Nothobranchius furzeri: one gene and its partners. The protein of the gene in region 2 binds, or shares a complex with, the protein of the main gene of each other region. Links are inferred from orthologs where the notes say so. Each region holds a gene or a part of one and is shown on either strand. Other genes may lie near its edges.

Region 1 (3,757 bases), on a different chromosome or scaffold from region 2:
CCCAATTACCAGGAATTTAAACAGGAAATCTACAAGGGGAACAATACAATCATTTAATAGACATAAGCTCAGCTTGACCCTCTTAATGTGGCATTCATAGGCACTAGCTCATCTTAATCCTAATCTTATTTGAATCAAGATTATTTTATAACTGAGATATAAACCAGCTGATATATATTACACATGAATACCTGATGGTTTGTTTATAAAGGCAGGGACACCTGCTTACTAACCACAGGTTTGTTCATTGTGTTTATGGTGTAAACAACTCATTTTGTATGCTGCAATAATATTTTACTGTGAGATTTAGAATGATCCAAATGTAAAATATACACATAAAGAGAGCATTAAATGGTTATTTATTTAAAAAGTTGAACAGTTCAGCCTCAAATTTATGCCAGCCCTGTCCTCCTCTTTACCCCTACCTGGTATCTAGCGGTTCTTCTGATTAGAATCCCAAAAGCTCCGTTACATTCAGTGTGAAAAGCTACATCAAACCCAGATGTATGATCTGAGTTGACTGACAGCTCTGCTTTAAGGCCAGAAGCCTTGAGTGGTGAAACGGTTAGCCTGTCGGCTATCTTTTTGCGATGAGAAAACGCCTTCTGGGCACACCTGCCTCGTCTTTACCACTGACTACCAGAAGGCACCCGTTAACTGTTGCCTCGGTTTAAAGCAGACTCCTTACCGTAAGACTCCGACATCGCCAATGTGGCGGTTTGATTCCAAAAGCAAAATGAAGGGAGGAATAAAAGTTGACAGATGCACAGCTAGCTCAGTAAAGGAATACACCAGTGATAATTTCCGTGCATTCCAGCTGATTTTTCCTTCCGACTTCCCGTAGGTTCTTCCTTTCAAAGTAAAAGTCCTTCCATGACCGACACTGTGATGCACTATATAGTTTTCGCCTCACTATGGAGCTGTTATTAAGTCTCCAGAAACGTTAAAATCATGATTTATTATAGATGTAAAAAATAATCACAAATAAGAAACATCCACATTGTAATAATTAGTGACCAGATATATTACTTATTATTGTTGTCAACTTGAAGGATTATACGTGCAAGTATTGACCAGTAGGCGGCAGTAGTGGTCACTGTGATTGGCTGACTGCAGCTAGACAACTATTTTAAAAATTGTTCTGCTGTGATAACCTTGCGTTAAAGGACCAAAACCGATTTCACATGATTTTAATACATGATCGGAATATTTGGTATTTAAAAGTAAAACGTTTTTCACCTCTATCACCGATCCAGGCCAGGAGAGTTCGCTTTCTAAACCGAAGGCTTTACCATAGAAGAAGAAACGCAGACTCAAGCTAGTGAACTAGCCTAGCTGCGGAACATTATTTTGTCGAAATATGGCTACTGTGCTCCCCATTAGACCACCTTGCGATAGTAATCCTGCCACCCCAGGAGCGCAATCTTTAAAGGTGACATTCACACTCCTTAAACTGCTTCATGCTTCAGCCTGTGTCCACGAATGACCCCGTTAGCCGTATTAGCGTCCATTCTTTGTTTTCATGTGTGCTCAGTTTATTCAATTTACCTTTCAGTTGTTGAAAAGTCGCCTGTGTAATTTGACTCGTATAAAAACGAAACGTAACCTCAAAATGCATTATTTGCTAATTTCTCTATTTTAAGTTCTACTTTTATTTTATATCTAATGAAACTTATACTTGTTTTTCCTAAAATAACACGTTTTGTACACGTGAGTTGTTTACAGGTAATGAATTATTATATCACTCATAAATCATGTTTTGCAGTGGCTCATTTAAAATAAAAAATGTATGAAGTAACCCTGAACTGGCAAACAACACACGAGTCTTTTAATCCTACCTTGTCAGGGAAATGGTCTTGTCTAATATGTACAGTAGTTTCTATAAACTTTCATTTTTTAGAAGTGATGCTCAAGCCAGAGGGTTTGAACCCTATTATTCTAGAGGTTAATGCCTCTAAAGTTGATGATGCAGCTGTATTGCATTTCAGGTTTTGGTTGCCCTCCATTCATTTTCACTGATTTGGGTACAGAGGAAACACTCAAGTCTTTTGTAAACAACTACTTTCATGGTCCTTTGTCAGGTTTTTCCAGGATAGATTTATATTTCTTAAGCACTGTGACTTTCAGGAATAGTTTACCTGATGTATACATCTCTTGAAACCTGACAATTTTTTAAATATTTAATCACCTCTTATTCTGCTGTTACATGACTGGGCAGAAAATGTGTAAAAAGCAGCAAAAGTTGAAATAAATTAGAACTTTTGATAAAGATAAAAACATTCAGCATGTTTTTTTTTTTTATTTTAATGAAGAGCTTTTTTCCTGTTTTTAGGAGGATGTAATAGAGGAAGTGTCCAATGATGGCAGCCAACCTAAGAGAAGGAGAATGGGTTCGGGGGACAGCTCTCGAAGTTGCGATACCTTCAATCAAGAGCTTGGGTAAGAGGGTGCTTTAATCTAGTTTTTACCGTCATGTTTTACACAATATTGTTAAATTTAAAACACACTTTACTTGTCAAACTTTCCCAGGTGTTGTACTCTAGAATGTGCAATTTTATTCCTAAAGTGGATTTTTTTTTTTGTTCAGGCCAACATATTTCCCAGCAGAAAACCTGACGGAGTACAAGTGGCCTGCTGATGAAACAGGAGAATATTACATGCTGCAGGAGCAGGTCAGCGAGTATCTGGGAGTGACGTCATTCAAGAGGAAGTATCCTGGTGAGGCTGAGAGGATCCTTGTGTTCAAGCTGGAATTCTGTTCCTTTTTTCAAAATGATTTTGTATGAATGCATTTGTTCAAGTAAAACTTCAAAATAATATTTGTGATAAGCTGTTGTAGAGGAGCTATTGTGCTTTTTGATTATATAAACAAGGGGCAAAGTGGCTCAGACTCCATGTTAGATCTATTTTTATGAAGCTGCACTCATTTTTTTTTATTATGATTTAGTTTATTTCTTATCTATGATTTTTTTAGACATGGAAAGGAGAGACTTGTCCCACAAGGAGAAGCTCTATCTTCGTGAGCAGAATGTCATCACGGAGACACAATGCACTCTGGGTAAGGAATAATATCTCTTAACTTTACATGCACACTTAGTCTCACTTCATTTTTTTATCCTGCTGCATTCATGTCTGCAGGCCTCACAGCTCTGCGGAGTGATGAAGTGATCGATCTAATGATAAAAGAGTATCCCACCAAACACTCAGAGTATTCAGTCATTCTGCAGGAAAGGGAGCGACAGAGAATAGCTAAAGAGTACTCTGTAAGTGAGGAATAAACAGGATGTCTGGTATGGTTGCTTTGATAAATATTTTTTAAAATGGTCTTAATTCTTGTATTGTTTTCTGTCATGTTTTAGCAAATGCAGCAGCAGAACCCTCAGAAGGTGGAGGCAAGTAAAGTTCCTGAGTACATAAAGGAGGCAGCGAAAAAAGCTGCAGAGTTCAACAGTAACTTCAACAGGGAGCGAATGGAGGAGCGGAGAGCGTACTTTGACCTCCAGACTCATGTAAAATACAACATCAAACATTCAACAATGACACAGCGCTAACCAGCTGTGTTTTAAGATTTATGTCTTATTTTGATCCTAGATTATTCAGGTGCCACAAGGCAGATTCAAGGTGTTGGCTCCGGAGCTGACCAGAACAGGACCTTATCCTGTTGCTCTCATTCCAGGACAGTTCCAAGATTATTACAAAAGGTACATTTCATACAAAACAACATTTTAAAAATACTTTGAATGTTCCTTTATTTTTT
Region 2 (3,021 bases):
CCATGTGACACAAACAAAAACTAAAAACGTGTCTGATTAAGTTTCTATAACCACCGGCGGGTATTCCAGACAACAAAAGGAAGGTGTAAGTGCTAAAATCCAATTTGATGGATGCTTCAAGTTTTTTAGCGAGACCTTGGGAAACATTTCAAAAGTGCTTTTCTTTCTTCCTAACATACGTGTATGTTTTAATACGTGCATGTATGTTTTAATACATACATGTATGTTTTTATACGTACCTAAAACACAAAGATGTGAAGCTGGAGACTTCACGAGCCATGAAAGAGTGTAACAGGAAAACAAAAGCAACAACGTTCAAAACACAAGATGACTCTTTTGTCTTTCTTGGGTGCTGGCATGTTGATAATCCATGCTGACCAGATCTCCTGGGGTGAGTTTATGATTCTGACTTGACAGTTGATGTCCAGTCAACCACGAGGGATGAAAAATCTATTTTCCTCAAGAGTCGACTTAGTTTGAACAGTCAGGAGAGGGAGTTGACTCGTGTATCTTATTTTTCTGTCACACATTAAATTTCCTGTTGGAAAAAAAATACTGAACATGAAAACTGTTTTTTTTTTTTTTTTATGTCCGGGAGCTGAATACTTCATTTCAGATGATACAGGCAGGATTTGGAATGGTCAGTCATTTGGATTTTCAGGTTTTTTCTTAAAAAGTATTCTCACTGTGGAGGAGGAGCAGGAGCTGAGGGGTGGAGAGTTTCTCCTTGGAGAGGGGTGCTGGGCTCTGTGGATAAAGCAGGAGAAAATGTCTGAAGAAGTACTCTCAAGTACCAGGCAGTAGTTAATCCTTAGCGCTATAATACGTATAACGAAATGTATCGGGACTCCCGGTAACACGAGAACTTCTAGATTTAAAACTACTTTTCCTGCCTGAAAATTATTGACACGTGCAATAAAGGGTAAAATCAATCATCGCCATGTCTGTTTACTCCAAAGATCTTGTAAGATTTCCTGTCTGACTGGAGAATGTTTGTGTGTGAAATCAGACCGTGTCTAGTGTTTAGTTTTTGCTGTGTTGCCGGACACCAAACAGATACTTGATTAAAATCCTGCTTTCTGCTGGGAAAAACCTGTCACAAAAACAGTTTGGGGTGAATGCTCCTGACCAGAGACAGTGGGAGGAGGATAATAAAGGGAATTAAACACGTGCAGAACTTGCAGGTTAAAAATTTTTGTGGCAGCTTGGGAGAAATGGGAATGGTGGGTGGCACATGATTGAGTGGATTATGAGGGAATGCCCTTTTGTTTAGTAATTTGCCTGCAGAACCTGTTTTTGCTGAGCGGTGTTTGTTGTTCTTGATTTAGTTCTGTGTTATTTTCCTGTTCAAATTGTTCACCATTGTTTTCTGACATAAATGCTAATTAAATACCTGCTGTATGTTTAAACTCACCATGGAGTACAGGTGTAGTGCTGGAGCTGGAGTGAGGGGCTGGAGCTGGGACGGGAGCTGAGGCCTGGCTCGGGGGGCAGGGCGATGGGGTATGAGTCCCTGCAGGAGGTTGGGCTTCAGGAGCCGGGGCAGAAGAGCTTGGTGGTGCAGGGCTAGGAGCCGCCTGTGATGCTGGTGTGCTGGGAGCTTGTTGCCCTGCAGTCGGAGCTTGGAGCTGAGGGCCTGAGGAGGCCTGGTTGGAATGAGGACCGCCGGTCTGACTGTGCTGCTGGTGCTGAATCTGCTGGAAGTGCTGCTGGCGAGCTCTCATCTCAGCGTATTTCAGCTGCTCCATGTGAAAGGACTGCCGGTCGGCCAGCAGCTGCTGCCGCTGGTACTCAAGCTGGAAGCAAAACAAACACGTCTCAGATGAATTAGTGCTACTGCACATCCGTTGTTCTGGGAATAAAACAGGTCATTTATGTCCAATAATTCCCAAATTCCATCACTTACAGCCTCCCTCTCTCTGTCCATGATGGTTTCCAGTTCTTCAAAGTGTCGCAGTTTAATCTCAAGCTTCTTCATTTGTGTCTCCACCAGCAGAGCCACCAGAGATTTGATCTTTCTCTCCTCCACTGCAGCCAGATGCTGTTTACACAGAGAAGGAGAATTGGATTAAAGAAACCCAACAAACAAACGGTGACTGACAGAGCAGCGGTAAAATGAACTTCACCTTGGCTTTGACAGCAGCAGCAGCTAAAGCAGAGGCGGCAGCAGTTGCCAGGTTTCCCTCTCCCACATCACGCTCAACCTTCGCCTTCCTTTCTCCTTCTATCTCTCCCTCTCTCTGCCCCTCCTCTGTTCCCTCTTTTGCATCCTTCTCCTTTTCTCCATCACCTGAGAGAAGAAAACATGGTTTTATTATATTTTTCCTGACACGTCTGTCTATGGCCAGGTCCTCTCATACCCATCTCAGACTCGGCTTTGTCCGCCTCCCTCTCTCCTTCGGCTTCTCTTCCCCTTTCTTCTTCCTTCTTTCCATTTTCCACCTGTTTCTCTTCTTCCTCTACTGCTGTATCTTTACTCACCTTAATAAATAAAAAAAACAGTTAACAACTAATAAATAAGAGACACAGCTTTCATTTAGTTTGTTTTGAACAAGCATCCTACCTTAGCATCTCTCTTCTCCTCACTTGATTGGCTGTCACTCTTACTTTCATCGCTGCTTTCATCTGAAGAGAAGACAAGTCAGAAATGTAAATTCTTCCTGTATCGTTGAAGCGCTCTTTCCCTAGTTGTGTCCATCTGTCCATCCTACCGGGTCTTTCTCCCTCCTCCAGGCCGGTGCCTGCGATGCCACTACCCTCCAGCCCATACAGAGGATCTTGTCGGCCGCTGACTCGCGCCGCTTCTTCCACCCGCCGCACGTGAGCCTCCACAAGCGCCGCGGGGACCTCCTCCTTCATACGAGAAAACTCCTCTGAGAGAAGGAGCAACAGCTTGAGGTTATTGAAGCAAAACATCCAGCCCTTGGTTAGTTAGTGGTCTCATAAACAAATGACCCAGGAATCTACAGTGTTGGAACATTACTCAGCAACTTCCCTGCCTTTTCACGTAGCTGAAAATGA
Region 3 (3,657 bases), on a different chromosome or scaffold from region 2:
AATGACCCTTTCCCACTAAGTTAAACTCTTGCACCAGGTTATCATGTGGCAGAAACACCCCTTCTTTAAACAAATCACCAATAGTATTTAATCCTTTCACTTACCACTCTTCCCAGTAAACAGGTTTCTTCCCTATGCAGATCCTGGGATTATACCATAATGAGGAATATTTCTGCTGACTATGTTTGAGGTTTAACAGTCTATGGACTCTGCCAAAGCTGGTTTTTGTCCAGTTTGGCATTCTTTACATATCTGAGAGGAAAAATCCCCGAGAGGGGGTTTGATGGTCAGAGATATAGTAAACACAGAAGCAGGATATTTAGGATTTACCGACTCGAGCAGGGATCATTCTTCTGTTTTCAAAAGTTTGAGAAATTTTTCTGCATGTCTTTTTTTTTTCATTTCAAGTCACACGTTTTACTCAGTTTTATTAAATAAATTAATGTCAATATGAGTCACATGTTTCCTGTGGCTCTAATATGAGAATCTGGAACCTATTATGATTATTCTGTCTTTTAGGGTTAATCTTAATTATTATTTTGTGTTGCTGCTCTTTTTAAAACTTTTTTAGATCACATAAATGGCTTCAGGATATATATATATATATATATATATATATATATATATATATATATATATATATATATACACATAATTCTGATGTTATTTTCTACAAAATAAAGAATTAGAAAATCTCATCCAGGCTAAACATTTCAGATACACTCAATATTAATCAGTTTTGTGCTAAATAATAGCAACGGTGGTTTGCCGTACTCAAAACAAAATAAATATGTACCGGTAAATGAAATGAATAAATAAAGACCTCCATAAATGTTCAGTGGAACCGTTATGTTTCATGTTGGGTTCAGGTTTCGTCCTGCTCTGCTGCCTGACTATATCTGTGTCCCTCCTCTGTTTCTGCAGGCTCGGTGACCAGTTTTATAAAGAGGCCATTGAACACTGTCGCAGCTACAATGCTCGCCTCTGTGCTGAGCGCAGCGTGCGAATGCCCTTCTTGGACTCCCAAACTGGCGTGGCTCAGAACAACTGCTACATCTGGATGGAGAAACGTCACCGTCGGCCAGGTGAGACACACCTGGGAGAGCTTGTGGGGTGGTGGTGGGCGAGTGGTACAACACTATTTTCCCTCCAGTTAATAAATAAATGTTTAGTTCTACACTTTTTAAAATTTAAAAACACACAAAAACTCCACTCTCAAAACAATAATAGCATTATTCAATATTATCGGCTGATATTGGAATTAAAATATAACACATGAAATTATCGGGATGAGATTTTAAGAACCAGCTTCTGCTTTTTGCAGATGATGTGGTCCTTTTGGCTTCATCTGAAAGTGATCTCCAGCTTTCGCATCAGCTCCTCTAAAACCGAGACCATGGTCTTGAGTCAGAAATGGGTAGAATGCCTTCTCCGGGTCAGGGATGAGGTCCTGCCCCGAGAGCTGAGCCGGAAGGCAAAGCTCTCGATTAACTGGCCGATCTACATTCCTACCCTGATGTATGGTCACGAGATTTGGGTAGTGTCCAAAATGATGAGATCGCGGATCCAAGCGGACAAAATGGGTTTTCTCCGCAGGGTGCCTGGGCTCTTCCTTAGAGATAGGGTGAGAAGCTCGGTCATCTGGGAGGGGCTCGGAGTAGACCAGCTGCTCCTCTATGTTGAGAGGAGCCGGTTGAGGTGGCTCAGGCATCTGATTAGGACGCCTCCTTGGTGAAGTTTTTTGGGCACTTCTAATTGGGAGGAGATCGAAAGGAAAACCCAGGACACGCCGAAGGGACTATGTCTCACGGCCGGCCAGGGAATGCCCTAAAAGGTACAAAAAGTCCCTAAAGAAGTGTTGATCACCAGTTCAAAAGCTTGTTCGGGTTCATCTGAAACAAAATCTAAAGAAATGAGGGATGACTTTAACACTTGTAAATATGCATCCATTTCTTCAATAAGATCAGACTCTGATGTCTCAGAAATGGTTTTTCTTTGATTTATCGAGCAGTCGAGACTTTTTACGCACGTGCGGTTCATCTGAGAAGCCAAAGGGAACAATCATGCTTTTTTCTGAGACCTGAACAGAAATAGCCCGCTCTCCATCTCCATGCAAAGTCCTTCAGGCCACACCCTATACTTTGTGGCAGACCTAACACACATGATATGCATTTATTCTGGGCTTATTCCTCCCCCAACTTCTCCTGAGATTTTTATTTGATGCTCTACTCATGTGGACATAAAAGCTCTTCTCCTTTGCTTCTGTCTCCTAGATTATGGTTAAATGCGTAGGTAGTTCATTATTTATGAGCAGGGAGATAATTATGCTTTGCCAGAGCATTCTACGATTTTAACGTGTTTGATGAAATATTTTTTACTTACAAACAACAATGCCAAAAAAGAAAAAAAAAACTAAAATTAAATCTTTGTTTCTTTAACCAAACAAGTAATTTATCTGAAATAAAATAGCACCATGTTTAACAGGAATGCCCCCAAACCTATTATTCCCATCTAAGGAAATTAATTTGAAGGCTGAGAATTATTTATTTATTTATTTTAAACAGTCTTGGATTATTTAGGAGACCAAATATCACACATTATATGCTAACATAAGTCCTGCAATTTGTCAGGACCAACCAAACAGGCTAACGTCCAGCCAATCACGTATTGTGACGTAAACGGCAGCTCCCTCAGCTGATCTGAGAGCCTGAGTACATCTGATACCCCTGCATTAATTCCATGTAGATTTTGGTGTTATGCAAAAATGCTAAATGTGTGAAAATTAAAAAAACTTTGCTTAAAAAATCTTTGAGTCAACTATTATGAAATTTTGAGCAGTTTGATCTTTGCTTTGCTCTGGCTAGCCAATTGTTCATCAGTCAATTTGGATATACACTTTGTTTCTCCATACTGATGTTCAGGAAAAGTGAGATAGTAGCAATGTCTTTAAGTACAAGGCCTGTCCGTGGACCAGTGTACGTGCATGCGTGGGTTTGTGTGTGTGTGTGTGTGTGTGTGTGTACAAAACTCAATGGAGGGTTTGTTACCCTTGCCAGTAGGTTTTGAAATTCTTCCAGTGTGCCCATGTCTCTCCTCGCGCTCGTGTGTGTGTGTGTGTGTGTGTGTGTGTGAAATCTTATAATCCTGTTGCATACGTGTGTTTTTTCAGGCCAGGCTGCAGGACAGATGTATACGTACCCTGCTCGTTGCTGGAGAAAGAAGAGGCGACTCCACCCTCCCCTGGATCCCCAGCTCCGCCTGTGTGAGCTTCGTCTAGGTAAGACAAGACAAACAACATACAGGCACATTGCTGCACCGAACACACACACACACACACACACACACACACACACACACACACACACACACACACACACACACACACACACACACACACACACACACACACACACACACACACACACACACACACACAAAAAGATGGTTTTGACACACCGTTGCACAAATAAAACCACTTTAACTCATGCATTGTTTCACCTTTGCAAACTAATGTCAATTTAATAGAAATGTTCATCATTTCTCTCAGGATTGGGCCATCTGGCTCTGGTTATCCCATCTCTCACACCAGGTCTCCAGGTTCATTCGCTCCCCTGAATCAATCCCCCCTCTTGCTGTTCTGTGGCTGCATGCACACAC

Evidence for each region.
Region 1: smarcc2 (region 2) and phf10 share a complex: the UniProt entries of both Homo sapiens proteins name them as parts of the neural progenitors-specific chromatin remodeling complex. The link is inferred for Nothobranchius furzeri from reciprocal best matches to the Homo sapiens genes SMARCC2 and PHF10.
Region 3: smarcc2 (region 2) and dpf3 share a complex: the UniProt entries of both Homo sapiens proteins name them as parts of the BAF complex. The link is inferred for Nothobranchius furzeri from reciprocal best matches to the Homo sapiens genes SMARCC2 and DPF3.

What each region holds. Positions count from the first base shown.
Region 1 is NC_091749.1:34,751,240-34,754,996, reverse strand, and holds the start of phf10 (PHD finger protein 10), read left to right. Parts: upstream 1-1,150; 5' UTR 1,151-1,360; coding exon 1,361-1,432; intron 1,433-2,332; coding exon 2,333-2,439; intron 2,440-2,587; coding exon 2,588-2,718; intron 2,719-2,974; coding exon 2,975-3,058; intron 3,059-3,138; coding exon 3,139-3,263; intron 3,264-3,359; coding exon 3,360-3,509; intron 3,510-3,591; coding exon 3,592-3,701; intron 3,702-3,757. Other genes in the region: rab4a (ras-related protein Rab-4A), read right to left, coding at 1-29, 689-704. UniProt on the Homo sapiens protein: Involved in transcription activity regulation by chromatin remodeling. Belongs to the neural progenitors-specific chromatin remodeling complex (npBAF complex) and is required for the proliferation of neural progenitors.
Region 2 is NC_091743.1:50,353,254-50,356,274, reverse strand, and holds the end of smarcc2 (SWI/SNF complex subunit SMARCC2), read right to left. Parts: intron 2,874-3,021; coding exon 2,712-2,873; intron 2,626-2,711; coding exon 2,564-2,625; intron 2,482-2,563; coding exon 2,361-2,481; intron 2,291-2,360; coding exon 2,127-2,290; intron 2,042-2,126; coding exon 1,907-2,041; intron 1,797-1,906; coding exon 1,415-1,796; intron 748-1,414; coding exon 683-747; 3' UTR 596-682; downstream 1-595. UniProt on the Homo sapiens protein: Involved in transcriptional activation and repression of select genes by chromatin remodeling (alteration of DNA-nucleosome topology).
Region 3 is NC_091742.1:25,621,726-25,625,382, forward strand, and holds part of dpf3 (zinc finger protein DPF3), read left to right. Parts: intron 1-924; coding exon 925-1,085; intron 1,086-3,169; coding exon 3,170-3,277; intron 3,278-3,657. UniProt on the Homo sapiens protein: Belongs to the neuron-specific chromatin remodeling complex (nBAF complex).